Linked DNA regions of Sus scrofa. The protein of the gene in region 6 interacts with the protein of the main gene of each other region in a pairwise test. Links are inferred from orthologs where the notes say so. Each region holds a gene or a part of one and is shown on either strand. Other genes may lie near its edges.

What was found.
Region 1: the proteins of HOMEZ (region 6) and DNTTIP1 interact in binary tests that used the Homo sapiens proteins (3 or more experiments, as listed by UniProt). The two-hybrid records come from large-scale screens. The link is inferred for Sus scrofa from reciprocal best matches to the Homo sapiens genes HOMEZ and DNTTIP1.
Region 2: the proteins of HOMEZ (region 6) and SNRPB2 interact in binary tests that used the Homo sapiens proteins (3 or more experiments, as listed by UniProt). The two-hybrid records come from large-scale screens. The link is inferred for Sus scrofa from reciprocal best matches to the Homo sapiens genes HOMEZ and SNRPB2.
Region 3: the proteins of HOMEZ (region 6) and PRKAA2 interact in binary tests that used the Homo sapiens proteins (3 or more experiments, as listed by UniProt). The two-hybrid records come from large-scale screens. The link is inferred for Sus scrofa from reciprocal best matches to the Homo sapiens genes HOMEZ and PRKAA2.
Region 4: the proteins of HOMEZ (region 6) and AEN interact in binary tests that used the Homo sapiens proteins (3 or more experiments, as listed by UniProt). The two-hybrid records come from large-scale screens. The link is inferred for Sus scrofa from reciprocal best matches to the Homo sapiens genes HOMEZ and AEN.
Region 5: the proteins of HOMEZ (region 6) and MED18 interact in binary tests that used the Homo sapiens proteins (3 or more experiments, as listed by UniProt). The two-hybrid records come from large-scale screens. The link is inferred for Sus scrofa from reciprocal best matches to the Homo sapiens genes HOMEZ and MED18.
Region 7: the proteins of HOMEZ (region 6) and MAD2L1BP interact in binary tests that used the Homo sapiens proteins (3 or more experiments, as listed by UniProt). The two-hybrid records come from large-scale screens. The link is inferred for Sus scrofa from reciprocal best matches to the Homo sapiens genes HOMEZ and MAD2L1BP.

The regions. Positions count from the first base shown.
Region 1 is NC_010459.5:48,007,830-48,011,902, reverse strand, and holds part of DNTTIP1 (deoxynucleotidyltransferase terminal-interacting protein 1), read right to left. Parts: intron 2,592-4,073; coding exon 2,523-2,591; intron 2,267-2,522; coding exon 2,210-2,266; intron 1,944-2,209; coding exon 1,885-1,943; intron 756-1,884; coding exon 710-755; intron 1-709. UniProt on the Homo sapiens protein: Increases DNTT terminal deoxynucleotidyltransferase activity (in vitro). Also acts as a transcriptional regulator, binding to the consensus sequence 5'-GNTGCATG-3' following an AT-tract.
Region 2 is NC_010459.5:25,367,613-25,371,060, forward strand, and holds part of SNRPB2 (uncharacterized protein LOC768116), read left to right. Parts: intron 1-2,164; coding exon 2,165-2,305; intron 2,306-3,384; coding exon 3,385-3,435; intron 3,436-3,448. UniProt on the Homo sapiens protein: Involved in pre-mRNA splicing as component of the spliceosome. Associated with sn-RNP U2, where it contributes to the binding of stem loop IV of U2 snRNA.
Region 3 is NC_010448.4:155,751,071-155,755,901, forward strand, and holds the start of PRKAA2 (5'-AMP-activated protein kinase catalytic subunit alpha-2), read right to left. Parts: upstream 3,175-4,831; 5' UTR 3,125-3,174; coding exon 3,031-3,124; intron 1-3,030. UniProt on the Homo sapiens protein: Catalytic subunit of AMP-activated protein kinase (AMPK), an energy sensor protein kinase that plays a key role in regulating cellular energy metabolism.
Region 4 is NC_010443.5:191,205,292-191,209,364, reverse strand, and holds part of AEN (apoptosis-enhancing nuclease), read left to right. Parts: intron 1-1,868; 5' UTR 1,869-1,932; coding exon 1,933-2,472; intron 2,473-4,073. UniProt on the Homo sapiens protein: Exonuclease with activity against single- and double-stranded DNA and RNA. Mediates p53-induced apoptosis.
Region 5 is NC_010448.4:85,382,631-85,387,338, forward strand, and holds the start of MED18 (mediator of RNA polymerase II transcription subunit 18), read left to right. Parts: upstream 1-1,454; 5' UTR 1,455-1,655; intron 1,656-2,216; 5' UTR 2,217-2,285; coding exon 2,286-2,358; intron 2,359-4,708. UniProt on the Homo sapiens protein: Component of the Mediator complex, a coactivator involved in the regulated transcription of nearly all RNA polymerase II-dependent genes.
Region 6 is NC_010449.5:75,794,960-75,798,704, forward strand, and holds the end of HOMEZ (homeobox and leucine zipper protein Homez), read left to right. Parts: intron 1-304; coding exon 305-1,902; 3' UTR 1,903-3,068; downstream 3,069-3,745. UniProt on the Homo sapiens protein: May function as a transcriptional regulator.
Region 7 is NC_010449.5:38,616,118-38,620,190, forward strand, and holds part of MAD2L1BP (MAD2L1-binding protein), read left to right. Parts: intron 1-2,596; 5' UTR 2,597-2,981; coding exon 2,982-3,027; intron 3,028-3,577; coding exon 3,578-3,843; intron 3,844-4,073. UniProt on the Homo sapiens protein: May function to silence the spindle checkpoint and allow mitosis to proceed through anaphase by binding MAD2L1 after it has become dissociated from the MAD2L1-CDC20 complex.

The DNA.
Region 1 (4,073 bases), on a different chromosome or scaffold from region 6:
TGAACGCAGAGGGCCAGGACGACAAGGAGTGGATGGCTTCTATGGGATGCAGCTCTACGGGGACAGAGGAGCTGGCATCCACCTTACTGCGCTTCCAGGTATGATTTTAATTGAAGAAAGGATTCTACTGCTAAAAAGCCTGCAAATTTCTGTTCTGTAGGCAACAGAGGCTAACAGCTAAGAACACAGACTCCGGTGTCAACAGTCTTGGATTTGACCCTTGGCTCTGCCACTTACTTGGTACATGACCTTGGGCAGCTCTGTAACCTTGAATGCATCAAGTGTATAAGATAATTAGGTAAAATGAGATTATTCCAGCCCACGAGGTGGGAAAGAAAGCTCCTGAACCACAGAGGGGTAACAGAATCTAACTCATAAGGTTGTTACAAAGATTAAATCATGTAATCCATACAAAAGATTCAGGGCAGCGCCTGTCACATATTAAGTACTAAAGGAAGAGTGACAACTAGTTTTACTGGGAGAAGGCTTCAGCAAAGACAAAGCCCTTTCTTAGTTTTGCCCCTAATGTCAATCCTTCCTTGGGATCCTCCTGGAAGGCCAGCGTTGGGAGGTGGGATGGGGGGGAACGGTCTGGAAGGGTGTGCACTCGTCCCCCAGCCCAGGCCCTTTCCCTCGAGGTGGGGCCCAGAGCCTGGACTGAGTCCGCCTAGGCTGGCGTGTGCTGCCAGCTGCGCTCACTTCATCATACCTTGGGGCCTTCCCGGCGAATTGGTTCACAGGATTTTGGTTTCCATCTGATCGGGAGGAAAGAAGAGGGGTGAATTCTCCAAGATCAGGCTAGACTGAAAGCAAGTCTGCTGCTGCTGCGAGTTCCTCACACTCTCACTCCAGCCTGGGTGTACTGGGGACCCCACAGCACCAGGAGCCACCCCAGGATCTGCTCTGACATCACCCAGCATGTGGGCTGCAGTTTTCTCATCTGACAGAAGGAGGTAACAGCAGCAACTCCCTACCTCGTGTGAGTAAGGAATGAATTTGCTCCGGGAAAGGGAGAGATGGAAGGTGGGAGGGATACACGAGGCCAACCCCTAAGTTGGTGGTTTCAAACTACCTCCATCTCTCCTAACCAGACCCGTGTGGCTTTATCTGCTTTATCTATTGGGCTTCCACGTAAAGTTCTGTTTGAAGAAAAGATTCTGTTGCTTCAAAATCTTTGAAAATGACCATCCTGGAGACAATGTAGTATAGTTTTGCTGTTATTAGCTGCCTGACTTTGAGCAAATAATTCTGAGTCAATTTCTTATCTCCAAAATTAATTATACCTTAATTACTTACTAGAGAATGGCTCCAGTAAGGAATAAAAGGCACAATACATAAGGTATTTAGACCAGTTATGGCACATGATAAGTGTTCAATACATACTGCTAATAAAAAAAAAATATCTCTCTCGGAGTTCTCATTGTGGCTCAGTGGTAAAGAACCCAACTAGTATCCAGGAGGATGAGGGTTCGATCCATGGCCTTGCTCAGTGGGTTAAGGATCCAGTGTTGCTGTGAGCTGCAGTGTAGGTCACAGAGATGGTTCAGATCCCATGTTGCTGTGGCTGTGGCTGTGGAGTAGGCTGGCGGCTGCAGCCTGGGAACTTCTGTATGCTGTGGGTGCGGCCCTAAAAAGACTTAAAAAAAAAAAAAAAAAAAAAAACCTCTGGTGTTTAATGAAGTTGGGCTGAACTGTTCTGGGGGCAAAACCAGGATAAAATCACCTCCCCTCACTGCCATGTTTCTCGGCCTCTCAGACCACAGTAACTCTCCTCCATGGTGACCTACACTGAAGGAGTGATTTCACCAGGAGAGAACTCTGGCTTCTTCTCCTCCAGGCCACTCCCTCCCCGCTCTCCTTCTGGCTCTGTTGGCCCCTACTCACACCATGCCTGCGGCGGCCCGGTCATTCGACAGGATGTGTCCAGGAGGCCGTCCCTTCCTCTGCCACAAAGAACAGCTGTCAGAGGCCTGACCCTGTGGGAAGCCCCCACCCACTGGGGCGTCCAGGGGAGAGGGCTTTCCCTTCTAGACCGCCAGGGAACTCCCTTCCAATGAGACCAAACGACCCTCGAGAGTGACCAGGGAGGGTGACGGTTCCCAGGTTCCTGCCCCTCAGGCTAGAGAGGACCAGAGATGAGCTGAGGAAGCTCAGCCCCTTCTGCAGCTGCAGGGCCTTCTCCCGGCCAGACAAGGAGGAGATGGTTTACCTTTTTGGGAATGGGGCTCCCCCGATGGGCACCCTCCTCTTCTGCCTGCCGGCCACGCTGCGGGAGAAGGGAAGGGAGTTGGTGGGAGGCCAATGCCCAGGAGCTTCGGGTCCCATGGGGCTGCAGAAGTCAGAGCCCCTGGACCACTCCTCAGCCCCTCCCTGAGCTGGGACTCAGAAGCCCTCCCAGCACGATGCTATTTATATCTGGCCCCACAAATGCATGGTACCTAGAGCCTCCCCTGGAGCCAGGGAGTTCACCTGCCTCCCAGTCTGAGTGGTCTCCCCCCTCTAAGACCCCAGGTGACTCTGACCTTGATCCCTGGAAGCTCATGGGTCAATCTGGGTATTACTTTTTCTCCATCTGAAAAGAGTAGTTTAGCCTGAAAGGAAAAGACCAAGTGTTACTAGTCACTATTTTAGTAAGTAAGCCTCTCTGTCTCCATTTTTATAGACACAGCTTCAAGCTGGGTTAAAACTCTTTCATGGTCAGTACAAAGGGATCCTGAGACATGGACACAAATAGATATCTTTAAAAAAACTTGGAGTTACCGTCATGGTGCAGCGGAAACAAATCTGCCTGACTAGGAACCATGAGGTTGTGGGTTCGATCCCTGGCCTTGCTGACTCAGTGGGTTAAGGATCCAGCATTGCCATGAGCTGTCGTGTAGGTCGCAGATGTGGCTTGGATCTGGTGTTGCTGTGGCTGAGGTGTACGCCGGCGGCTACAGTTCCAATTAGACCCCTAGCCTTGGGAACCTTCATAAGCTGTGGGTGCAGTCCTCAAAAAAACAAAAGACAAAACAAAAAAACAAAAAAAACCTTGAGTAATTAACGACCATTGTTGAAAAATTAGAAAAATGTGAATAAACAAAATAAAAATAAAAAAAACCCCAAATCTGGAGTTCCCGTCGTGGCGCAGTGGTTAACGAATCTGACTAGGAACCAGGAGGTTGCGGGTTCGGTCCCTGCCCTTGCTCAGTGGGTTAACGATCCGGCGTTGCCGTGAGCTGTGGTGTAGGTTGCAGAGGCGGCTCGGATCCCGCGTTGCTGTGGCTCTGGCGTAGGCCAGTGGCTACAGCTCCGATTCAACCCCTAGCCTGGGAACCTCCATATGCCGCGGGAGCGGCCCAAGAAATAGCAACAACAACAACAACAAACAAAGACAAAAAGACAAAAAAAGAAAAAAAAAAAAAAACAAAACCAAATCTGAAACCTCAGGACTCAGAGTACTGTTAACATTTCGATGCAAACTCTTTCTCACTTTTTGCCATGTAAATATCTGCTATGTATTTTTTCTAAGTAAATGCACTGATATTAAGCACAGTCTTCAGTAAGTTGCTGTTTTTCATTTAATCGATACTGAGCACAAGGGCCTTGCTCTTGTGGAGCTTATATTCTGTGGGCGATCTGGACGTTAAGCAAATAAACAAACACATAAGCACAGTGACTGTAGACCATGAATTTTTCTCTGAAGGAAAAAACACCAGCCAGGCAGACGTGACAGAATCACCCAAAGGGAAAGCTACTTGGAGCAGGTGGCCGGGGAATGCCTTGCTGAGAAGGGTGCTCTGGCTAGGATGTGATGGAGCCAAGCAGAGAGAAGGCTGAGGAGAAATGTGTTTCAGCTGCAGGGGGAAGCACAAAAGCCCTAAAGTGGGAACAGATGTGGCTCATTTGAAGAAGAGGCCTCGCGGTCCTGGGAGAAGGAGAGGGGTGAGCGGGAGCATGGGGAGGCTGGCAGGGCCTTGGAGGCCTGTGAAGAGCTGGGTTCACGTGACCTCTTGGAGCCGCACTGGACAGCCCTGAAGGCTCCCTCCTTCTGGAAACAGTCTTCTATGGGCTCTGTGGCCACACTCCCTGGT
Region 2 (3,448 bases), on a different chromosome or scaffold from region 6:
CCCATTAGACTGATCTCATATTGAAGGTATTTTAGGAGGTCCATTCTCTGCCTTTAGGAAAGTAGTAGTTGCTGCCAAGTCGCCAGCATCCTGGAAAAGGAAAAGAATGTTCCTTGAGCTGTCTTTACTTAGGTGGTTTCAGTTGCTCTTTAACTCAACATACCAGATTAGAAATGAACAAAAATTTATATAACTTGGAACTCAGAACAAAATTATGCTCTGTGATTCAAGGATATTTGGATATTTAATTTCCAAAGTAGCTCAGTAAGACAGAACCATCTTCCTAAGGGCTTCTGTAATGAAACCTTTGGAATAAATGTAAATCTTGCGCCTTCTCTAAGTTGTGAATGGACTTTTATCCTATACCAGGATTTAGTCTAGACCAGGGCTTTTCAGCATCTGATACTTGGGGTATTTGAACTGAATAGTTGCTGGGGCTGCCTTGTTGGTTGTAAGGTGTCTAGAGCACCCCTGGCCTCTGCCCTCTTAGCATGACAACCCACTGTGCCCCCTTTCAGCACTGCCAGCTGTCTCCTGGGGGCGGATTCTCCCCTGATTGAGAACTGCTGCTCCAGACCAGCCTGCTGAAAGCGAGGATTCAGGGCAGAGGTATTCTCAGGCCACAGGGACAAATACAAGACCACCCAAGATCTGTTTAGGTCAACAAGGAGGTTAAAGACCCAGGGTAGCTGGGAAGGAATCCTTGGGACCAAGTCAGAGTTAGTCCAGACCTGTCCCTTTCCATTAGATGACGACATGCAGGATTATCAAGAGTTGATCACAGCTAAGTCCGTGGTCTAGTGGCTAGAGCTTTCATAGGAAGCCTTTGGGACTGAGCGGTCCTGGGAGGCCTGCTGCCCTCTCATTCTCCTGTACATTCATCTCTAGCTAATGTAAAAGAAAGGGAGTTCCTGCTGTGGCCTAGTGGGTTAAGAACCCAACTGCAGCAGCTTGGATTGCTATGGAGGCATGGGTTCGATCCCTGGCCCGGTGCAGTAGATTATAAAGGATGGGGCTTTGCTGCAGTTGTGGCTCAGACTCAATCTCTGGTCCAGAAACTTCCATTGCCATGGGTGAGGCCATTTAAAAAGGGGTGGGGTGGGGAAAGAACTGCTTGGTTGTGACACATTTCTTGCTTTAAAGCCTGCATTACTTTAAAATGTCACTTGTTCCCTTCAGACTGAAATCAATTTCTTGCCATACGGGACAATTTTAGAGAGAATTGATAGGGCTGTGGTGTTTTGGTATGATCACAGAGGTAGTTTCGGCTCTTTGGGTGCCAGGGAAGAAATATTCCCTTGAATTGGAAGTTGTAGTTTGCAAATAGGCACACCTGGATGACAGCATAACTTGTAGCAAAAGTTTTGGGACAGGTAATTGGTATGAGACTTAGCTATGTGACAGTGCCTTAGGGCAGGGCCATACTGCTCATGGTGTGCCCCCTCTCCCAGATGCCCTCTGTGCTTGTTTTAAGTACAGACTCTCAGGCCTCAGCGGAACCACTGCATCAGGATCTGCAAGTTCTCTGGGTAATTGGAATGCATGTTAAATTTGATGAAATGTAGTCCTAGACCAGGGTGTTTCCATGCCTGCTCCCTGGTGTGTGCTATGCCTCCTGGCTATGGCCTGTCAATCAGGTCAGTGTTGTAGTTGCACTAGCTATGTTGTCATCCTTTTGTTTCCTTTCAAAGCTTTTAAAATTTAAGTTGATGCCCCCATTAGTCATTTCATTTAAAAATAATAGCTCAGATTCAAAGGCAGGTCTTTCTCAATCTTTGGTACTTTAATTTCGGAAGTAACAATCCCATGCATATTTTGACCTTCTGTTGAGCATCCTTGCTAAGGGATGGACAGCTTTCCAGTGCAGTTTTCTCTGTTTTTTTAAGTGGAGGAGAGCAGTGGTATGGATATTTCAAAGTCCCGTTTTCTCATCTGAAAATATATGGTTTTTTCTTCTAATACACATAGCTGAATCTAACTTTGTCTCACTTGTAAATCATGGGCCACAATTTATTTTCATTTGGAGCTCAGTGTATTTGACATTTCCTTAAGGATGTGTTTAAAATTAGCTCATATTTGCTTAATGAAATTTGCAAAATTAATGACAAGTGTAAACAGGCTTCAGCGGAGTGAAAAGTAACCTGTTTTCAAATAATTAAAACAGCGAATCCAGTATGCAAAAACAGATTCTGATATAATATCTAAAATGCGTGGTACTTTTGCTGACAAAGAAAAGAAAAAAGAAAAGAAAAAAGCCAAAACTGTGGAGCAGACTGCAACCACCGTGAACAAGAAACCTGGTCAGGTAAGATGGGCAAATGTTCATATTTTTTTGGTGTCAGAAAATTTGATAGTTCTTTGTCTTCCACTTGAGGGGTGATCTTTGGGGCATGCTTGTGCATCTCTGTGTGTTTGAGGTGGATTTTTAAGAAGCTAGAATGGTTGAGTTCTAACATTTGTAGATTTGTGTTTAAGCAACACATTATAATGTAAAACTTTACTTATGGCAGATATATATTAAACAGTTTTATTTGAATTTGCCTGACATTTGGTTCCATCATTCTCCAAAATATGTTAATATCTATTGGCTTATTTTTCAAGTTCTGTGTATAAATAATGCTATAGATGTTACCTTGTAATCATGAGTATTCCACTCAAAGCTGCTTTCTTTGAACAGTTCAGGAATTCAAAATCTAATTCAAAATACTAGATAAAGGTGAAATTATCATCCAAAAAGTAGTTACTTTGAGATTGAAAGTGATTACAAATCAGTTTTACTAAGTATGATTTTTTGCTTTTTTGTGTATTTAAAAAAAAAAGTGAGAAAGACTAGTTCTTGGCTTTTCTCTTATATATTTCTCCATAATTTTAAAGCCTGGAGGTTGAATTTTATGATATAGTCTAAAGTTAGGGCTAGACCTTTCAAAAATATTCTACTATACATAAATGTTTGAGTGAGTTTTTGAAATGTAAATTTGCAGCAAAAGTAAGGTAGAATAAAAAAATCTGTTAATCATACTTTTATGCAGTAATTATAAATGTAAATATCTGCTGGGGTTTTTGGGGTTTTTTTTGTCTTTTTGCCTTTTCTAGGGCCGCTTCCTGCGGCCTACAGAGGTTCCCAGGCCATGGGTCTAATCAGAGCTGTAGCTGCTGACGTACACCACAGCCACAGCAATGTGGGATCCGAGCCGCGTCTGCAACCCACACCACAGCTCATGGCAACGCCGGATCCTTAACCCACTGAGCAAGGCCGGGGATCGAACCCTCAACCTCATGGTTCCTAGTCGGATTCATTGACCATTGAGCCACGACAGGAACTCCGTGCTGGGTTTTTTTAGAAGGGTTGGAAATTGTAACTTTCTCTTATTTTTTTTGGCTTAGGGAACACCAAATTCGGCTAATACCCAAGGAAATGCAACACCAAATCCTCAGGTAATATTATTTT
Region 3 (4,831 bases), on a different chromosome or scaffold from region 6:
AATTGCAAAATGGCACAACCACTCTGGAAAACAGTTTGCAGTTTCTCCAGACGATAACATAAAACTGATATGACCCAACAATTCTACTCTTAGGTATCTACCTAAGCTCTATGAAAACAAATGGCCACACAAAGACTTGCATGCAAATGTTTGTGGTGGCACTATCTGTTACAGCCAAAAACAGAAAAAAAAAGTCCATCAACAGGTGACTGAAAAGGCAATGGAATATTATTTGGCAATAAAAAGGAACAAACCACTGACAGATGCTATTCATGCACAAACTTCAAAAGCATTGTTACATTAAAAAGTCAGACATGAGAGACTCCATATTGAATGATCCCATTTACAAGAAGTGTCCAGAGAAAGCAGACTGATCCAGAGAACAGATTAGCAGTTTTCTAGGGCTGAGGGCTAACTACAAATGGGCATAAGGAATCTTACTGTGGTGATGAAAATGTTCTAAAATTGATCTACGATAATGGTTGCACCATTTGGTAAAGTTACTAAAAAAATCACTGAATTGTACACTTGGAATGGGTGAATTTTATGATACGTAAAATATGCCTGAATAAAGCTGTTTTTAAAAATGCATGTGCTTTTGCTTCCTGTCCCTTGAAGAATTACAACTGGCCCTTGAACCACACCAGGGTTAGCGGCACTGAACCCTGGGCAGTTGAGAATCTATGTATAACTTTACAGTCAGCCCTCCATATCCATGGCTCCACATTCTAGGATTCAACCAACCTCAGACTATGTATTACGTAGTACATATTTAGTGAAAAAATCTGTAGAAGTAGACTTATGCAGTTCAAATCTGTGCTGTTCAAGGGTCAATGGTAAATGACTAACTTCAAGATGTAGCAACTTCTATAATTTTTATTAAGCAATTGTACTAAGTCTATAACCTTGGATGAGAAACCACAGTCTTACTGCAGAGAGGCCCTAGTATAGTGTTAGAAACATCTCCTCCAATTGGCTGCTCTTTGGGCAGGGGCTTCCAGGAAAAGTATTTCTCATAAATCAAAGCATTTTTTCTGATGGTTTACATTTTAAGTCGTCAGTGCCTAGAAGCAGCTCAAAAGTATATACAAAAGAGACTTAAGTTGTCTTGTGCCAATGGGCTGACTGACCTGATAGGTGTTTTAGTCAACATTCAGATTACAGAAAAATTTAAAAAGACAAACAAAAATGTTAACAATTTCAAAGGGCGCAGGGTACCTTATATAACCTGGAGAGTGTACTTGTCCAGATGGCAAAGGCTTGGGTGTATAACATCAAAACACAAGAGGCCTCAGTAATGTTATAAGCGTTAATCCAATTCCTGAGTCTATAGTCATTCTAAATATATTCTCCTAACTGTCCACTCTATAAAGTCTTTCAAAACTAAAAGCCTTCACAGCTCTCACAGTACGTCAAAGAATTTTACAAATCTTTTAGGTCTTTAGATAAATACCACCCTGCCGGTGAGGCCTTGCCTGATAAACTTATTGAAAATTGCTAACCTCACAAAATTCCCTATCCTCTCTTCTCTCATTCATTTTTCTCAAGGGCACCAAATATATACATACACACATATATACATACATATACACGCATATATACATACACAAAGGAATTGTTGTCTTCCCCTACAAGAATTTATTAAAGCACCACAAAAGGAGAGATTTTAATCTGATTTTGTTTCTAGGGTATCCCCATTACCTAGAACAGTGCCTGAAACACTGTAGGCACTCAATCAGTGCGTTCTGAACAAACGAAAGGATATCAGACATGTGGAAGTAAATAAGAGCTGGTCCGTGCCACAGAAATAAACATTTAACAGCCTTAATTTAAAGTTAAAACATCAGTTTTTGAGGAAATAGAAGTTTCCATAAAATCTACAAACTACCTAACCAACATTTCTAGAGCAAAGGGGGGGGGGGAGGCAAACTACACTTACAGTAATGGATTTGCAACAATCAAAAGAGAAGTATTTTTAAATAGCCGGTTCTAGTTCGGGGGAGGGGGACAAATTAATTAAATCCATGTGACTCTTATTAACAAAAACAGGAACGTTCAATACTTAACTAGGAAGAAGTAAAAATAATTCAAAAGCAACCTGTTTTTCTACACCCCAAAATGGGACCGCATCACCAAGAACACAGACCTCAGCAGAGCACAAACGCCTTAGCAGTTCTGGCCTCAGCCCGGCATCCCCCAAGATCCAGCACCAAGGACCGCATTTTCTCTCCCGCATCCCAGAAGCCTTCCTAGGACCATTTTACACAAACCAACCAACCTTCAGACCTCCCAGCTGTAACTAACCCCGATCCAATGCAGCTGCATTCCAGCCAGGAGAAAGACCCACCCAACCGCTCGCTCGGGGAGCACCCCCTAAACTCTCAGCCCCACCAACCCAGCAAGGGAGCACGAAAGAACTCGGACGGCAGGGACCTCCCAGCTGGCCAAACTGGAGGACATTTTAGACCTACATCCCAGTGTGACCTTGAGCATGTTCCTAAACCCCTAGGGGGTCCTTGTTTTCTCGCGTTTAAGGTGAGGATAACACCTGCATCTGCCCTAAGGCTCAAAGGAGATCACCTGTGAAGGACCTAACGGGGCACCTGGCAAAAATGGAAACTCCACTACCAGGAACGCGTGTCATTCCCCACCCCTACCCGTACAGTCTCCCAGCAGGAAGGCACCTTGCCCAACAGTCCAGTCTCCCGGTGTCACAGAGCAGGGCACTGAAGTCGGGCGGGAGAAGCGTCTCGCTCCCGACTGCGAGAAAGGCGGTGGGCGGCGGCCCTGGACCCCGGGACGCTTGCGCCCCTCCCGCGTCCCCTCACCCGGCCGCTGCCGCGGGGCGAGGAAGTGACGGCTGCCCTCCCGGAGCCCCCGGGCTCCGCGCGGCCCTGGTGGGGCCGCTCCACCTGCCGCCAGGCCCCGCCGCCCGCTGCCCACCCACTGCCTGCTGGCGGCCCCGGGCTCCCGGGCTTGGCCTCCCGCGAGGCTGGCAGCCCGGAGCAACGGCCTCGGCGCGTACTCAACTCTTCACTTTGCCGAAGGTGCCGACACCCAGCGTGTCCCCCAGCACGTAGTGTCCAATCTTCACCCGCCCGTCGTGCTTCTGCTTCTCAGCCATGTTCGGCGCGCGCAGCCTCGCTCCGCCGCCGCCGCGGCGGACTCCTCAGTGCGGCCGCAGCCGCCGCCGCCGCCTACCCACAGTGCAGCGGGCCCGCGGGGGGCGGGGGCCCGGAGGCGCCGAGGGCCGGGCGGGGGGCGGGAGGGCGAGCAGGTGGGCGGGGCGGGGGCTCGAGCGGGTGGGCAGAGCGCACACCCCCGGCCAGAGCCGGCGCGGGGACGTAGGTGTGCGGAGCTGGCGGGCGCGCAGGGTGGGCCCTGGGCTGGGCGCAGGAGGCCGGGTGGAGGGAGGGTCGGAGGACTACAGGTGTGCGCGGGAGGCGGTGGCGGTCGGATGGTGCCCCGCTATCTGGGGGCGGGGCGGTGAGGAGAACCCGAAGGAGTGGAAATGAGGGTGGGATTTGGGCCGAATCTTAGCAAATGCGGAGAGATGCAAGCTGAAGGTGGAGAAGAGAAACAGGCCTGAAGTGTGAGGAAAGAGGGGTGTGAAAACCAGCTTAGGGGTCTAAGGGATCCGGGCGGGAGGCGATGGTGAACGACCTTGCTCGAAGGTCAGTCTAAGGAGAGCTACAAGGAAGTTTCTCCAGTCTCAGGTTCAGTGTTATGATACAGGTCATGACACACACACAGAACCCAATTGTGTGCTGGCTTCAGTGACCCACCTCGGTGTACTTCCTCATTCTCAATCATTTTGAGCTACAGATGGAGACCCTCCATTCTAGAGTTCTCAGTTCTCACTAATTTGGACAAAGTTCTCGGAACAATCAGACCCAAGAGTTACCTGATTGTATTTTAGCACATACCTATATAAATAGTGTATAAATAATTTGTGATGGAGCCGTACAAAAGGGAAACAGTGACGGAAATGAAGAGAGCATGGAAAGTAAGATACATAAGGGACGAAGTACTACGGTGAGCTAGGGCAATATAAAGGCACAAATTAAAGGTAAAGATTGAAGTGGGGGGAGGTGGTAAGCATTAAAAACTGCCAAGATACAGTAATATAGTAATGAAGTGGTTCTCACTTCCTCCTCTCTCCCTTCTTTGCTTCCTACTGTGTCCCAGTCTTCAAAATTTCCTCTTTCCGTGACTAAAAATTATTTGCTGATTGGGAATAAGTGTTTAAGGATTAACTGAACATTTTTAACTTTGTGCATGACAGTAGAGTTTCAAGGTCACATTCCCCAAACAGGAAATTTCATCTCACTATTTTTATGTAAAGAGAGAAATATATTTATCAGAAAGAATAAGATGTAACAGAAGTTTGTTTTCCGAGAAGTGACAAATATACCAATGGCGAGCATACATCCATTTTTGTTTAGCCATCAAGTCAATCTGATGAGAGATGATCACATCTTATAAATTATAGACATCACAGCTGTTGAACAGAGGCTATTTTTGTTCATTCTTAGGATCATCTTTCTTGCTGACCAGAAGTATTATTTAAAAAACAGTCTACCTAGCTGACGATTTGGAGAAAATAGCCAGTTATTTTTGATGCTGAACCTTCATTTGATTGATGGTCACTCCAGTATTCATTCAAGTAGAAAAAATACCTATTCTTCTTTTGCAATATAAAGTGTCTGTGTCTTGTTCTAACATCTCATTAAAAGATGTTAAAGAGTATTAGATTGCTTTCTTGAAGCTGTATGAAGACAGCCTATAAATATTTAAAAGCATTGTGCACTGTCTTAACTAGTGGTTGATA
Region 4 (4,073 bases), on a different chromosome or scaffold from region 6:
CAGGGTGTTGGAGGGCCCCCTCTTCCTTAGTCCTGGGGTACTCCTTTCAGGCCTTTGCCCCAGTCGTGGCCACTGATTCCTCTCCCCTGCACCCGTAGGGCCACGGTTCCACTTTCTTAATCTCTTCAGCCGTTGGCCTGTTCTGCTTCCCCGGCATGCCTCGCACAGCCCTTCACACACTTTCTGCTCCATTCTTGTCTCTGCAGTGAGACTAGATTCTTGGAGCCCAGAGTCCATTTTTGGAACTCTGCCCAGCACTTGCCACAGTTGGGACCCCAGAGGCCTCAGGCTGGCATTAGCCTGTGCAATCCAGAGGGTTGTTCCAGAAGGGCTTCTTGGAGAATGGAGGAAGGTTAGGAAGGAGCAGTGGGGAGGGGGCGGGAGGAAGGTTGGAAAGGGACAGGGAGTCCAGGCCAAGGCAGGTCTGGCTTGGGAAGAGCTGGTTACCAGCCAAGAGCAGGAGTCTCCACCATTCTGGGGGGAAAGGGAGCAGGTACTTATTGAGCCCCTACTGTGTATAATATATGCAGATCCCAGCACATGGATTGTGCCATTTCCTCTTCCCACGGGAAAGCTATTAGGGCCATTTTACATGCAAAGAACCTGAAGCTCAGCTGTTAGCTAACTTATAGAGAGCTGAGTTAGCCCCTGCTCTGCCTACTTCAAAGTCCTGGTTTTCTGGTCTCTTTGGGTGCACTGACTCAGCACAGCAAACAAGATGAAGCTTTCCAGGCTACATTCTTCACCATTCGGAAGATGCCGGGATGCCGGCCTTTTAGCACGGGATTTGCAAACCCATGTGAACATCAAACATTTCTTGCTGCAGTAGTGGGCCACAGCATCTCTTCTCAATGCAACATTCAGGGATGAGAGCTTGTGGGAGGTACCATGAAAATCTGCAGCACTATAGATCAGGGCTTTCCTTTTCTCTTGCTCTCTCTTTTAAGTTGAGCCTGTTTACCAGCACACAAGTGCCTATAGGCTTCAATGATTAAACTACATGTCCAACTATATATATATATATTTTTTTTTTTAACTTTTTTTTTTGGGGGGGTGCTACCCTGTGGCACATGGAGTTCCTGGGCCAGGGATCAGATCCGAACCTCAGTTGCAACCTAAGTGGCAGCTTTGACGATGCCTGTGCTGGGCTGAGGATGGAAACTGCCTCCCAGCACTCCAGAGATGCTGCTAGTTCTGTTGTGCCACAGTGGGAATTCCTCCAACTATTTTTAAATGTTTGTAGACAGTGTTGTGATGAGTGAATTAGAAGGTCATTTACTACATTATGTCATTTTGGTTAACACATACCAAAAACAACTATTGTGGGCTTCCTATGAAATATTTTCTCCAGGTCTGCTGTGGGTCTGTGCCCATACATTTCATAAAATCTCTCGTTTCCTTTAACTGGAACTTCATACATACACACACCATTTCTGTAACCTTTATTTTCCCATAACCATACCTCTCTACAAGTTTCTGATGCCTACAATATTGGAGGTTAGTTACAGCTTGGAGGTTGAGAGCATGGATTCTGGATTCACATCAGCCTGTGCCTATTATTAATTAATTGGGCAAGTTATTTAACCTCTATGCCTCAGTTTTTGTACCTGTAATATGAGGATACTGATACTTTGTTTGAGTTGTTTGGAAGATTGAGTAATTCTGTGTAAAGTACTTAGAACAGTGATTCTGTATGTGCCATTAACTGTGTGAGTGCAATTATTACGAAAATAGGTCTTTGACTCCTTCTGGAATCCTGAGACCAAGGGCTGTGGGGCAGTCTAGCCAGCAACAGGGCACTGCAGGAGGGCGGTCAGGGCTGGCATACTCCTCACTCAGCGCCTCTGCCCTCTCTCTTCTCTCCCCAGGCTGCTGCCCTGTTGGCACATTACCTCCTAGGCCTCCCTTGCCCTGAGGGGTGAGCTGATTGGGATGGTACCCCGGGAAGCTCCTGAGTCCACCCAGTGCCTGTGCCCTTCCCTGGGGAGCTCCAATGCCAAGGATGTGCTTCGGAGGAAGCACAAGAGGAAGAGCCGACAGCACCAGAGGTTCATGGCCCGGAAGGCCTTGCTGCAGGAGCAGGGGCTGCTGAGTGCACCCCCAGAACCAGGATCCTCTCCACTGCCCATGCTCTTGGATGCTCCGCCAGGCACAGAAGCTTCCAGCAGTGTGAGGCAGCGTCCAAAGGCTGAATCTGGAGGTGCCCCCTGCAGCAGAAAGCCCACCCCCAGGGAATCTGCGGGGCCCTTGCCAAGCAAGTGCGTGGCTATCGACTGTGAGATGGTGGGCACGGGCCCCCGGGGGCGGGTGAGTGAGTTGGCCCGCTGCTCCGTGGTGAGTTACTATGGCGATGTCCTCTACGACAAGTACATCCGGCCTGAGATGCCCATCGTGGACTACCGCACTCGCTGGAGCGGCATCACTCGGCAGCACATGCGCAAAGCCATCCCCTTCCAGGTGGCCCAGAAAGAGGTGAGGGCAGGGCTGGGGCTTTGGGTTAGTGTGATGGGCTGCAGCAGTGCTTTGCTACTATAGGTGAGAAGGGACCTTGAGAAAGTTACTTAACTTCTCCAAACAATGGCTTCCTTCACAGAACAGGGTGGATAGAGGGCTTGCCCTAGAGCATGGAAGGAGTGCTGGGGTATTCCTTGTGACAGTGTTTGTGAACAGGTTGTGCTAACTGTAAGATGCAAAGCAGCTTACATGCCACATTTTTTCTTTTGTAAAAGTATTACATATCTGTATAAAATGTGTAGGGCCCATAGTGCTGTCACCTGCGGGTATTAATTTGTTTCGTTTTTGTTTTTTGTTTTTTCATTGTTTTGAAAAAAGTAGTGTTGTGACCACAACCACTAGGAATTCCCAAATGTCCTTGGAACATAGGAAACACTCAGATCTTTCGTGTGTGTGTGTGTGTGTGTGTGTGTGTGTGTCTTTTTAGGGCCGCACCCATGGCATATGGAAGTTCCCAGGCTAGGGATCGAATCCGAGCTGTAGCTGCCAGCCTACAGCAGAGCCACAGCAATGCCAGATCTGAGCCATGTCTGCTACCTACACCATAGCTCACAGCAATGCCGGATCCTTAACCCAGTGAGCGAGGCCAGGGATCGAATTTGTATGCTATGTTTACTGATCGAGTTTGTTACTATTGAGCCACAATGGGGACTCCCTAAGGAAACATTTAGATCTCAATCCACAATCTTGGATCCTTGTCCCCACCTCCCTCTGCAGAGATTCTGATCCCACAGGTCTCTAGGTAGGCCCTGGGACAGCTCTGATGTGTCTATCCCTAAAAACCAACATGCTATGCAACTTGCACGACAAAAACCTCAGAGCTGATGGGAAAAATGGGGTTAGGGACACAATGCTCAAAATAAAAAGCAAGAAATCTAATAATAGTGGCAGCACAGTTTTGCCCAGGGTCACTGGCTAAGAAATGCATAAATAAACCAGTAGTATGGCACTTTGCCTTGAAAAGGCCTGGGGTACTGGGGGAAGTGGATGTCAGGAGGGTGGGCTTGCGCTGTGGGAAGGAGGGAAGGAGTTAACTGGAAGTCAGGAGGTGGGAACACACAGGTGCAGATGGTAGGCAGGTAAGCTGAGCTGGCTGGTAGCTATGGGGGGCGTGGGCACTTTGTGGATTCCCCAGTGGCTCAGCTCAGCTGGGTGTGGTGTTGGCATTCACTTAGTGTTTCCCAAGGGCGAAGTTTGCATTATTCTCAAATCATGTCCTAACATATCAACTATAACCTCCTTGGAACACTTTGTAATTTTTTTCTTTCTTTTTTTTTTTTTTAAGGGCCACACCTGCAGCATATGAAAGTTCCCAGGTTAGGGGTCCAACTGGAGCTACAGCTGCCAGCCCATATCACAGCCACAGCAACACAGGATCCTAGCCAAGTCTGCCACCTACACCACAGTTCATGGCAATGCTGGATCCTTAATGCACTGAGTCAGGCTGGAGATCAAACCCACATCCTCATGGACTTGTTGTTAACCACTGAGCCACAACAGGAACTCCTGCAATTTCAAACCAAGTGTTGTAACAGAACTATGTAACATTTCTGGTTTAT
Region 5 (4,708 bases), on a different chromosome or scaffold from region 6:
TGCTCCATAGTGGGAACTCTGAGGCCTCACATTCTTATAACATTTTCTCCATCCCTATAAATCATGAGTCTTGTCCAAGTTTTACCATATTGTTCACCCAATTCTTACCTATTCTTTTTTTTTTAATTTAATCCTACTTTTGAAATGTCAGATAAAATGTGGGTAATATTTTTTTTAAGTTTAAAAATGTAAATGAGTAAGACAGTATAAATTACAGCAGGGGAAACTGGAATTATAAATGACTGTATAGGAGTTCCCATCATGGCTCAGCAGAAATGAATCTAACTAGTACCCATGAGGATGCAGGTTCCATCCCCAGCCCCAGTCAGTGAGTTAAGGATCCAACATTGCCATGAACTGTGGTGTAGTTGCAGACTTGGCTTCGATCTGGCACAGCTGTGGCTGTAGCGTAGGCCAGGGGCTACAGCTCCGATTCAACCCTGGCCTGGGAACTTCTATATGCCTTGCTCGGTGAGTTGGGGGTCCAGGATTGCCATGAGCTGTGGTGTAGGTCACAGATGCGGCTCAGATCGCACATTGCTGTGGCTGTGGCATAGGTCAGCACCTGAAGCTCTGATTCAACCCCTAACCTGGGAACTTTCATATGCCAGGGTGCAGCCCTAAAAAGAAAAAAAAAAAAAAGATGTGTAGCAATTAAGAGGGTGGGTTCTGAAATCAGGCAGCTGCTTAAATTTGTACCCCAGTCTAAACTCCCTGGTGTGTTATTTCTTGATGCCTAAGTTTCTCCATTAGTAAAATTAAGTAATAATTATACTTGGGTTACAGGGCTGCTGTGAAGATCAAAAATTCCAATATTTTGTTCATTAAGGATTTTTTTTCCACATTAAATTCGTAAAAGATTGCATTACAATTTTTTGAATTGTTAGGAGTTTTGGTGCCCCTTAAATTTTTCGCTCCAGGGAGTGCCTCAACCACCATACTCTAGCTCCATTCTTTGCATTTTACATGCTTGACACACAAGCAACATTCAATAAATGAGCTGAATTTACTTATCTCCCAAAATTTTTGAATTGAGGTAAAATAAACACAGAAGAGTGAACAAATATCAAATGTATTGCTGAGTTCCCTAATTGTTCAGAACAGTCTGCTAAACAGTAAAAGATGTCTTTCCTTCTTATCTTCAGGTACTCAACCAAAAGAAGTTTTGGTTTTATGATCTCTTTTTTTCTTCAGCTCTCTTCCCCCGGCTCTCTTTTCCCCCTGTAAGTTCCAAAAGAATTCCTTGACAAAAACAACTCCAGGCCGTCACACTTGAAAAAAGGAAAATATTTTCCGGGAGGACTGCCTTTGATGTCAAGGTCCCCCTCACGCCCCGAGGAACGCGCTCAGGAAGGCCGCCCTCTTCCACGCAGAATCGCAGTTTGCGCATGCGCTTCTACTTGCCAGGCCGCAGAGATGATTTTTATGCCTTCCCGGCACCCTTACGTCGCAGAATGGTGATGTCAAGATTTGCGCGACGGAGACTTTTTGCCGGAAGTGGAGGGGAGAAAGTGTTGCACTCCACCGGGGGGTGGGGGTCTTCAAGTTCAGTGCTGGGGGCTAATTATCGCTAAAAAGCTCCGAGGTGCTCTGGTGGCTTCAGTTCCCTGCTTTGCCAGAAAAGGCTAGAACACGCGCGGAGGTGTGTTTTTGGTGTGAGTAGGCACGCGTCGATGGTGGGGTAGGAGGACCTCAATCGTCAGAAGAACTTCGCACTTCTGTCTGGCTCGCTTTCAAAGGCGTTTTGAACGCCTAGATTTTTGTCTGGTTTATCTCTGCCATGGACTTGCTCTGTATCCTTCCCTCCAACCCCCACCCAAAGTGTCAGTATCCTCATCTCCAAATTGAAGGGGAGTCACCTCTCAGTTCTATTATTTCACGGCTATTGTGTCATCTGAGCCACAAAGCCTTGGGGGTTAAATGTCGACCTCATTTTATAAGGAAGACATTGAATCCCAGGGTCAGCGGTTTGATGGCTTATTGCACAGGAAATTCTGAAACTGAAGGTTTCAGACCTTGAGACTGAAAGATTATAACTCCATGATCAGGCCTCCTTTGTGTATTTCTGTATCATCAATTCCTGAAACTGACTTATGGAAGTTGTTCAAAAAGTTCTGGATGAATGAATGAATCTTTTGATGTTAAGGCTAATGACCCAGGTAGATCTGGTGTCTCTCCATCTCTCTGATGTATTAACAAGCATAACTCTTTTCCAGGTGTGTCCTGTGCTTTATTTGACTGGGACTCTGAATCCGGTTCTGTTGCTTTCAACTTAAACAGATAGCATGGAGGCACCTCCAGTCACTATGATGCCTGTCACCGGGGGCACCATTAACATGATGGAGTACCTGCTGCAGGGTAAGTGAACTAGGGAGCTTAGATTACCTGATTTCCTCTTTTCTGTTCAGGTTCCATGGAGATGAAAGGCTAATATACAAAGGCTACATAATTTCTGGCACCTCTTTTTTTTTTTTTTTTCAATTTGGCTTTAATTATGGTCACAAACATATAGCATTAAACATTTTGAGCATAACATTTAGTAGTGTTAAATATGTTTGCATTGTTGTATAGCCAATCTCTAGAACTTTTTCATCTTGCAAAACTGAAACTCTGTACTCATTCTTCCTTTCCCCTCCCCCCAGCCCTTGGCAACAACTTTTCTACTTTCTTTTTTTTTTTTTCTTTTTTTATTTTCTTTTCTGCTGAACCTACGGCATATAGAAGTTCCCAGGCCAGGGATCGAACCCACACCACAGGAGCAGCTCTGGCAGCTACAATGACAACACAGGATGAGTAACCCACTGCACCACAGGAGAATTCCAAACCTTTCTACTTTCTGTTTCTAATTTTGACTACGTTAGATAACTTTATATGAGTGGAATCATATGGTATCTGTCTTTTTATGACTGGTTTATTTCACTTAGTATAATGTCCTCAGCGTTTACCCGTGTTATCACACGAGACAGGATCTCCTTTCTAAAGGCTGAATAATGTTCTATAGTATGTATATACCACATTTTCTTTATCTGTTCTTCTGTTGTTGGACATTCAGGTTGCTTCCACCTCTTGGTTAACATGGATAATGCAGTGAACATGTGTATGCAAATATCTCTTCCAAGATCCTGCTTTGAATTCTTTTGGTTAAATATCCAGAAGTGAAATTAATGGATCATATGATAATTTTATGATACTATTATTAATTCTTGTAGATCAGGAAATAGAATTGAAGTAACTTGCCCAGATGAGAAAGCTCAAAACTCAGTGTAATGATTTTCAGGAGGCCTTATAATGTTTCGCAAAAAAGTTTAGACTTTGAATTATCCATTTAAGAACTTAATATGGAAGTTCCCGTCATGGTGCAGTGGTTAATGAATCCGACTAGGAACCATGAGGTTGCAGGTTCGATCCCTGGCCTTGCTCAGCGGGTTAAGGATCTGGCGTCACCATGAGCTGTGGTGTAGGTTGCAGACACGGCTTGGATCCCACCGTTGCTGTGGCTCTGGCGTAGGCCGGCGGCTACAGCTCCTAGATTAGACCCCTAGCCTGGGAACTTCCATATGCTGGGGAGAGGCCCTAGAAAAGACAAAAAAAAAAAAAAAACTTAATATGAACGAAGTAGGGTTATTAACTTTCATTCTTCCAGCTGTCCCTCCTTCAGTCTTTTCCATCTTAGTAAGTGCCTGTCATTCACCAGTTGCTCAAGCTATGAATTCAGGAATCAATCTCCATTTTTTCACTTTATTCTCACCTATAGCTTATCTCTAGTTCTGTTTATTTTACTTCCAAAATATATATTAAATATGTCTTTTCTCCACATGCAATGGCTTGGTTTATCATCCTTTGAACTATTTTAGTAATTTTGTGCTTATTGCATTGCTTCCACTTTTGATCATCTGTCTCTTCTCACACAATAGTTCAACATCTTTTTTTGGGGGGAGGCAGTTTTTTAGGATCCTTAACCCACTGAGCGAGGCCAGGGATCGAACCCGCAACCTCATGCTTCCTAGTCAGATTCGTTAACCACTGCGCCACAACGGGAACTCCAGTTCAACATCTTTTTTAAAAAATGTTTTATTATTAAAAAATTCAGGGAGTTCCCGTCGTGGCGCAGTGGTTAACGAATCCGACTAGGAACCATGAGGTTGCGGGTTCGGTCCCTGCCCTTGCTCAGTGGGTTAACGATCCGCGTTGCCGTGAGCTGTGGTGTAGGTTGCAGACGCGGCTCGGATCCCGCGTTGCTGTGGCTCTGGCATAGGCCAATGGCTACAGCTCCGATTGGACCCCTAGCCTGGGAACCTCCATATGCCGCAGGAGCGGCCCAAAGAAATAGCAAAAAAAAAAAAAAAAAAAATTCAAACACAAAGAAAATAGAGACTGATAGAATGAACACTCAATTTCTGTCATCTTGATTGTACTTTCTGTTATTTTTTTCATGTTTGCTTTATCCTTTCTTTTTTTCCTGTCTTTAAATACAATTTCAGACTTCATAACATTTTACCTCTAAACACTTTCAGTATACAGCTCTGAAAAACAAGGGTTTTTCATAACCATAATACCATAATACCATCATAATACCATAATCCTTCATAACCATAATACCATCATTTTCTAAAAAAATTAAAATTTTTTTTTTTTTTTTAGGGCTGGACCCACGGTATATGGAAGTTCCCAGGGTAGGGGTCAAATCAGAGCCATAGCTGCCAGCCTA
Region 6 (3,745 bases):
CTTCTTAACCTCTAAAGACAGATTTTTCTTCCTGGTAACAACACTTGATAGTCTTGTGACTTGGGATAATTTAATTTCTATGGACTTTGGGGGTTTTTTTGTATAGCAGGAATTATGGCAGGCTCTGATGACTCAGAAGTTTATGAAAATTAAATGAGAAATTGTTAAGCACTTTAAAAGCAATCCAACACAGTACACCTAGAAAGTTGATTGTTTTGGACTCCAAACATTTTGTTTGGTAGAAAGTGAGCAATGGGCTGAAAGAGGAGCCCCAGTGATTGAACTGTTTTTCTTCTTATTACAGCGATCTCTGAAGGGCACAAGTCAGAAAGCACCATGCCTCCTAATAAAGAGGCCAGCAGTCTTAATAGCTCCCCTGCGGGGCTCATCTGTCTCCCTCCAATTTCTGAGGAGCTACAGCTTGTGTGGACCCAAGCAGCCCAGACCAGTGAGCTGGATGGCAATGAACACTTGCTACAAACCTTCAGCTACTTTCCCTATCCCAGTTTAGCAGACATTGCCCTTCTCTGCCTACGCTATGGGCTGCAGATGGAGAAAGTCAAGACTTGGTTCATGGCCCAGCGCCTCCGCTGTGGCATTAGCTGGTCATCCGAAGAAATAGAAGAGACTCGAGCCCGTGTGGTCTACCATCGGGACCAACTCCACTTCAAATCCCTTCTCTCTTTCACTCATCATGCAGGGCGGCCCCCAGAGGAGGTGCCTCCTTCTCCGATGCCACCTCCAGAACAAGTGGGTCTTGGAATAGTGCCCCTGACTCTTAGCGAGCCCACCCAGAAGAAAGGATTGAAGGTAGAGCCTGAGGAGTCCTCAGAGCCACTGAGTCACCAGAAAGCAAAAGAGCCCCTGTTGGTACCTGGCACTGGGACATTCCCCCACCAATCAAACTTTTGGCAGGATCTTCAGAGCAGTGGCTTCTCTAAAGGGCAGGCAGGCAGGGATCCCGACCAGTCCCACGGCCTAGGTACTGCTTCCTGGAACCACTCCACAGCTGTCCACCAGCCCCGAGCTCGGGATAAGCCCCCGCCCATCTCATTACTTGCCAGTAGTTGCAAGAAGGAGTCCGCATCTAATGTGACTCCTCCTTCCTCTACCTCTTCTTCCTCTTTCCAGGTACTGGCTAATGGAGCTACTGCCACCTCTAAACCCCTCCAGCCACTGGGCTGTATCCCACAGCCACCATCACCCAAGGAACAGGCACTACCCCCACATCTGGAGCCAGCCTGGCCCCAGGGGCTAAGGCATAACTCAGCACCAGGGAGGGTTGGCCCTGCAGAGTACCTTTCCCCAGATATGCAGCGCCAGCGAAAGACCAAGCGCAAAACCAAAGAGCAGCTGGCTATCCTCAAATCATTTTTCCTACAGTGCCAGTGGGCACGGCGTGAGGATTACCATAAATTAGAGCAGATCACTGGTTTACCTCGGCCTGAGATTATTCAGTGGTTTGGTGACACACGCTATGCCTTGAAGCATGGGCAACTAAAATGGTTTCGGGACAACGCAGTACCTGGGGCCCCTAGCTTCCAGGATCCAGCAATTCCCACACCACCACCTTCAACCCGCTCCTTGAATGATTGGGCTGAGACACCACCTCTGCCGAATCCCCCACCCCCACCGGATATACGACCCCTGGAGAGGTACTGGTCAACCCACCAACAGCTACGGCAGAGCGATATCCCTCAACTGAGTCAGGCATCAAGGCTGAGCACCCAGCAGGTATTGGATTGGTTTGACTCTCGATTACCTGAGCCAGCTGAAGTGGTGGTTTGTCTAGATGAAGAGGAGGAAGAGGAGGAGGAAGAACTGCCAGAAGACTGTGAGGATGAAGAGGAGGAGGAAGAAGACGATGATGATGATGACGATGATGTGATCATCCAGGACTGAGTGGGGGGCGAGGGGAGGTCTGTTACTAAAAGATGAACCAACTTAGTAACTGTTTAAACAAAGAAACCACATTTTTTTATAATTACCTTGTGGCAAAGAACTGAAAAGCTTTGTGTTCTTGAGGGTCGGGACTGGGGGATGTAGTGAGGGAAACCAGGAAGGATGACCAAGGCACAAAGTGAGGTGGGGATTGGATGGGCAGGAATCCAGGCCTGCAGCCTCAATGAAGAGAGTGCCAAGGGTCTGGTCCAAATGATGGGGCCGGAAAAGGCTCTTGCTCTCCTCTCAGATCTGCCATACTTTTCCCTACTGTACTACAGAGAGGCCAGGCTTTGGCCCATGTCTATGGGGGAAGGCAAAGGAGGAGTAAAGAATTTTGATTCACTGATGATTCCAGTACATCCCCCAGTCCCACCATTTTCCCTGGAACATAAAGCTGCCTTGCACCCCTTCTTTTCTCTCCAAGCACAGGTCCTTGCATAATGCAGCTAAGAATCTCATGTCCCCATCAGTCACAAATATTTCCTCTCCCTCATATCAGCTTGACTTTATATGTTTTCCTGCTGCTTTTATCGAGTCACACAGGGAGCAGAATGTTTTCATTTCTGATGCTGGGACCACTATGCCTTGTACCTTTTTATCTTTCCAGAATCCCCATTCTGTTTATTATTTGTCTCAGGGTAAATCTTCCCCCCAGAGCTTGTGAAAAAGTTTAATAATTGGGTGGAGAATAATTTAGACTGGATATTTATTGGAGGTGGGATTTAGGCGAGATGTCCTTTTAAAAATGAATTAGATTACAGAGGGATAAGAGGAGAGGGAATGGTTTCTACTGTTTGGAAGGACGGTGAAGGTAGGTACCAGGTTTGGTTTTACAAACCTGACACTCCCTCCTGCCTAGCTTGACAGAGACTGATTTTTTATCTTTTTCATGTTAGTTTAATTTGTGTCCAGAGAAGAGACTTTTCCCTCTCTTGATAGGATCTGTCTTGGGGACAGAGGGACCATGGTCTTTAACTGAATTAATTGATGTTTTAGAATGGTTTTCATCAGATGGGGTCACCTATAACAATATCAGTGGGTTAACCATCTGGAAATAAAAGGTTGGAAGCCCCCAATTACTAGAATAATAATAAAAAGGCCAAAAATAAAATTGTTTCTCTCTCCTCCACTTTGCTACTTTAATCGTTTAGAGATTAATGGAGCCAAATCCATTAACTTTCTGATTTAGTATACTTTTTATTTATTTATCTTTTAAGCATCAGGATATATTGAGTTAAAGTAAAAGAACAAAAATTTTAAAAGACAGTAGATCAGTATCTATTACTAGGCAGACTGTTTCCTGCACTTGCTACAGCAGAGCCTCTTGCTCAGAAGAGGGGGAGTCTAGAAATGCCTTTAAAAATCCAATTCAGGAGCTCCCATCGTGGCTCAGTGGTTAACGAATCCGACTAGGAACCATGAGGTTGCAGGTTCGATCCCTGGCGTTGCTCAATAGGTTAAGGATCCGGTGTTGCCATGAGCTGTGGTGTAGGTTGCAGATGCAGCTTGCATCCCGTGTTGCTGTGGCTCTGGCATAGGCCGGCAGCTACAGCTTCAATTGGACCCCTAGCCTAGGAACCTCCATATGCTGAGGAAGTGGCCCAAGAAATGACAAAAAGACAAAAAAGAAAAAAAAAATCCAGTTTCAGAAAGGGTAGTGGGGTCCTATTCAGCTATAACGTCATTACCAAGACCTCATTTATTTCTGGCAGATGCTCTCTTTAACACTTTACCAATGTTTTCGCCTAAGGTATGCCTGCCAGTGGCCCACCCACTTAACTCCTCTTTTTTTTTTTTTTTT
Region 7 (4,073 bases), about 37 Mb from region 6:
TCTTTGGTCCTTTCTTTCTGAAACACACCTTTTTCTTGGCCTCCAGCACTTGACACTTGTCTGTTTTTCTTTCTATTTTTCTGGCTACTCCTCATTCTCCTCCACAGATTCTCTTTCTGTTCATCCTCCAGACATTAGTGTCTTCAGTATCTTATTTATTTATTTATGCCTTTTTAGGGCCGCACCTGCAGCATATGAAAGTTCCCAGGCTAGGGGTCAAATCGGGGCTATAGCTGCCTACTTTTTAGGGCTGCACCCATGGCATATGGAGGTTCCCAGACTAGGGATCCAATTGGAGCTGTAGCCACCAGCCTACGCCACAGCCACAGCAACACTGGATCCTTAACCCACTGAGTAAGGCCAGTGATCAAACCCTAGTCCTCATGGATGCTAGTCAGATTCGTTTCCATTGAGCCATGATGGAAACTCTGAGTTGAGTTTTCAATAAGTTGAGTTTGCTGTTCCGTTGGACAGTGAAAAGATATTTAGGAACATCATTAGAAATAGAAATATATGTATTTGATAGTCATCAGCAAGGGGGCAGATAAGATCACCCAGGGAACTTGTATAGAGTAAAAATAAGCTAGGAGGGAGTTCCTGTTGTAGCTCAGCAGAAATGAAACCAACTGGTATACATGAGGATGCAGGTTCCATCCCTGGCCTTGCTCAGTGGGTTAAGGATCTGGCATTGCCCTAAGCTTTGGTGTAGGTCAAAGATGTGGCTCCGATCCCATCTTGCTGTGGCTGTGGTGTAGGCCAGCAGCTGCAGCTCTACTTCAACCCCTAGCCTGGGAACTTTCACATGCCTTTTTACGTGCGGCCCTAAAAAGGCAAAAAACAAACAAACAAAAACCCCAGAAAACTGAACTCATCTTTTCTCCTTACTCATTCCCCAATAAACCTGGTCCTCCTCTAGTTTTCTCTCCTTCACTGGGTGGCATAACTGGCCATAGAGTTGATGAAGTAAAAAAAAATCTGCTTGTTTTCTTGCCAGTCTCTCTCTATCTCTCCTCCTATTCCTGGGGTCAGCCATCATGCTCAACTGACCTCTTATTCTAGGGCTCACCCATTTCTCTCCACCCCACTGTGACTACTCTAGTTCAGACCTCTTTCACCATGCACTTGGGAATTGCAGTTGCTAGCTCTAACTGGCATCCATGCCAGCTCCTTTATCTATTCTGTAATCAAAATACCTACACTGTAGCCAGTGTAGAGATTAAATTTATAAAATGTAAATGTAATCATGTCAGGCCCCTACTTAAACCTTTCAAATGTTCCCCTACTCTCCTACAGGATATAGTTCAAACTTTGGCTTTAGAATGGTTTATAAAGCTTCGCCATGATCTGGCTCCTGTTTGTTCATCATAGCCTTACTTCTTCATAAGCTGAACTCTTTTTTATTCCTTGAAGAGAGGATGCTCTTGTATCTCCAGGTCTTGTTAAAAAACAAAATTCAGGAGCTCCTGGTGTGGTGCAACAGGATCAAGATTGGTGGCATCTTGGGAGTGCTGGGACACAGGTTCTTCTATCCCTTGGCCGGCACAGTGGGTTAAGGACCCAGTGTTGCCCCAGCTGTGGCTTAGGTCACAACTGCGGCTTGCATCTGATCCCCGGCTTGGGAACTCCATAAGGAGAGTGGTGGCCTAAAAACAAAACAAAACAAAAATTCAAACGAGTAAATTTGAAGATATAATTGGCTTTATTCAACAATTCATGAATCAGGCAGCATCCCATCTAGTTTAAAAACAAAAACAGGCACTCTGAAGGACTGTTGAAAATGGATGACTTTTATAGAAAGGAGGGCAGGATGAGGTTATTAGCAAAAAGAAAGAAAGGAATGGTCACCTACCGTTAGGGGGAATGATAGGGGGTTTTATCTTGCAGATTACCTCACTAGGGCAGACTAGGAAATTCCAGACTGGTTAGTTTAAAATTCTACTCCATGAGTTCCCGCTCTGGCACAGTGGGTTAAGGATTCGGGGTTGCTGTAGCTGTGGAATAGGTCACAGCTGTGGCTCGTATTTTATCCCTGGCTGGGGAACTTCTATATAACGTGGGTGCAGCCAAGAAAGGAAAAAAATAAAAATCCACTCTAGGTGAAGCTGAAACTTCGATTAAGTTAGGTACTAATTCTTGGTGAGATTTAGCAGAAGTGATTCCATTTGGGGCTTGTTTCTTTTTTTCTTTGTGATTTTTTTTTTTTTTTTAGGACCGCACCTACAGCATATGGAAATTCCCAGGCTAGTGGTCGAATTGGAACTACAGCTGCGGTCCTAAGTCACAGCCACAGCAACTTGGTATATCAGCGGCGACAGCGACCTACCCCGCAGGTCTAGGCGATGTCGGATCCTTAACCTATTGAGCGAGACCATAGTCGGGTTCTTAACCCGCTGAGCCACAACCGGAACTCTGGAGCTTGTTTCTTTTTAACAGTCTCCGGGACTTTAACAGTCTCCTCTTTACACCTTCCTCTTTACACATCCTGCAGGTCACACCCCTCGCTCCCACTCCCTCTAGGTTAAGCTCTCCTGTTCTTCGTGTCCACAGCCCACGTACACCCTACTGTATAATTCATCACACTGCATTCCATCTATAGGCACCGAACCCTCTGAGGACAGCGCCTGCCTCTGGCTTGTTCGTCGCAGAGTCTCCAGCACCTAGGACAGGGCCTGGCGCGAAGTAGGTGCGCAGCGAATAGAGACTGCGGGAGAGAACGGACGCTTGCGGGCGGTTGTCCTTTGGAAAGCAGCGCTAAGTGGCTGAGAACCCGTGGTTTCTCTGTTGGGGAAGGGCTTGGCGTACCCGCCTGATGTTAAGGTGGGGAACGCCAAGCTCAACTCTTCACCCAGCCTAGCCTACACCACAGTACACGGCGCTCCGCCCCTTCCGGCCCGGCGAAACCGGAAGTAGAGGCGAAGGTTTCCCATGAGGCTTCGCGGGGCGCCTATTCAAACTGCTCCGAGAGGAGGAAGGAGGTCGTGATGGCGGCCCCGGAGCCGGAAGTGCAGTCCCCGGTCGCAGTCTCTGGTAAGGCGTGGGGTCCGGAGCTCCAGGAGTCTTAGGGACCTGTTTTCGCCCTGCCGCCGCTCCCTCCAGTCAATTAGCCCTGGCCCTTTCTCTAGCTCGTCTTCCTTGTCCGGGTTTCCCAGCATCCCTCCCAGTTCTGATCCGGCCCCATTGACTGTGTCACCCCCACGGCCCTTGATCCCATTGGCTTACCCCACTGCGTCTTCACGGCGGGTTCTGGACCCTAACTACACTCTCCGCTCTTTTTCCTAGATCAGGGCCTCCACTTTTTGAGCAGAGCCCCAGTCATTGCCTCCGAAATCCTCCGCTCGTCCCGTTTAAATCTCGTCATCTCTTAAAACCTCTTAGGCGAGGAAATCTCGCCACCGCCCACAGGGGAGTTTGCGGAATCTCTCCGCCACCGCCCACAGGGGAGTTTGCGGAGATACTGTGAATTGTCGGGGTGTCACCTCCGCGGTGGTAGCTGATGTCGCCGCAAGAGAATGAGAAGACTGGTTTTGGCCTTTTAAGTTTTTCATTTTTCTCTTTTATCTCTCCGTGCCCCAACTAGGTTTGGAGTGGTGTGAGAAGTCGGAGGAAACCCACGACCCCCAGATAGAACTACTTGAGACTACTTCTGCCCAAGAACCTCCCAACCCTTCGGAGCCCCTTCGTCCCAGAGACTGCATGGTGCCAGTGGTGTTTCCTGGGCCTGTGAGCCAGGAAGGCTGCTGTCGGTTTACTTGTGAACTTCTAAAGCATATCATGTACCAACGCCAGCAACTCCCTCTGCCCTATGAACAGCTTAAGCACTTCTACCGAAAACCTTCTCCCCAGGTAGGCTTTGGGAGAAAATTGGTGGGGAGACTATGGCTATTAGATGGTAGGGAGTTAAAAAGGGAGTCTAAGGAATCCTCAGGGCCTGTCAGCCTAAGTAGCTGTAAGCGATGTTTCTCAGTCCCTTTTGCCTGCTCTGGGATTGATAGTCTAACTCTTCCTGCTTTTCCTCTTGTTTTGTTTTTCTGAAATCCCTACTGTGTTTTGCATTTGGGCTTCATGAAATAATC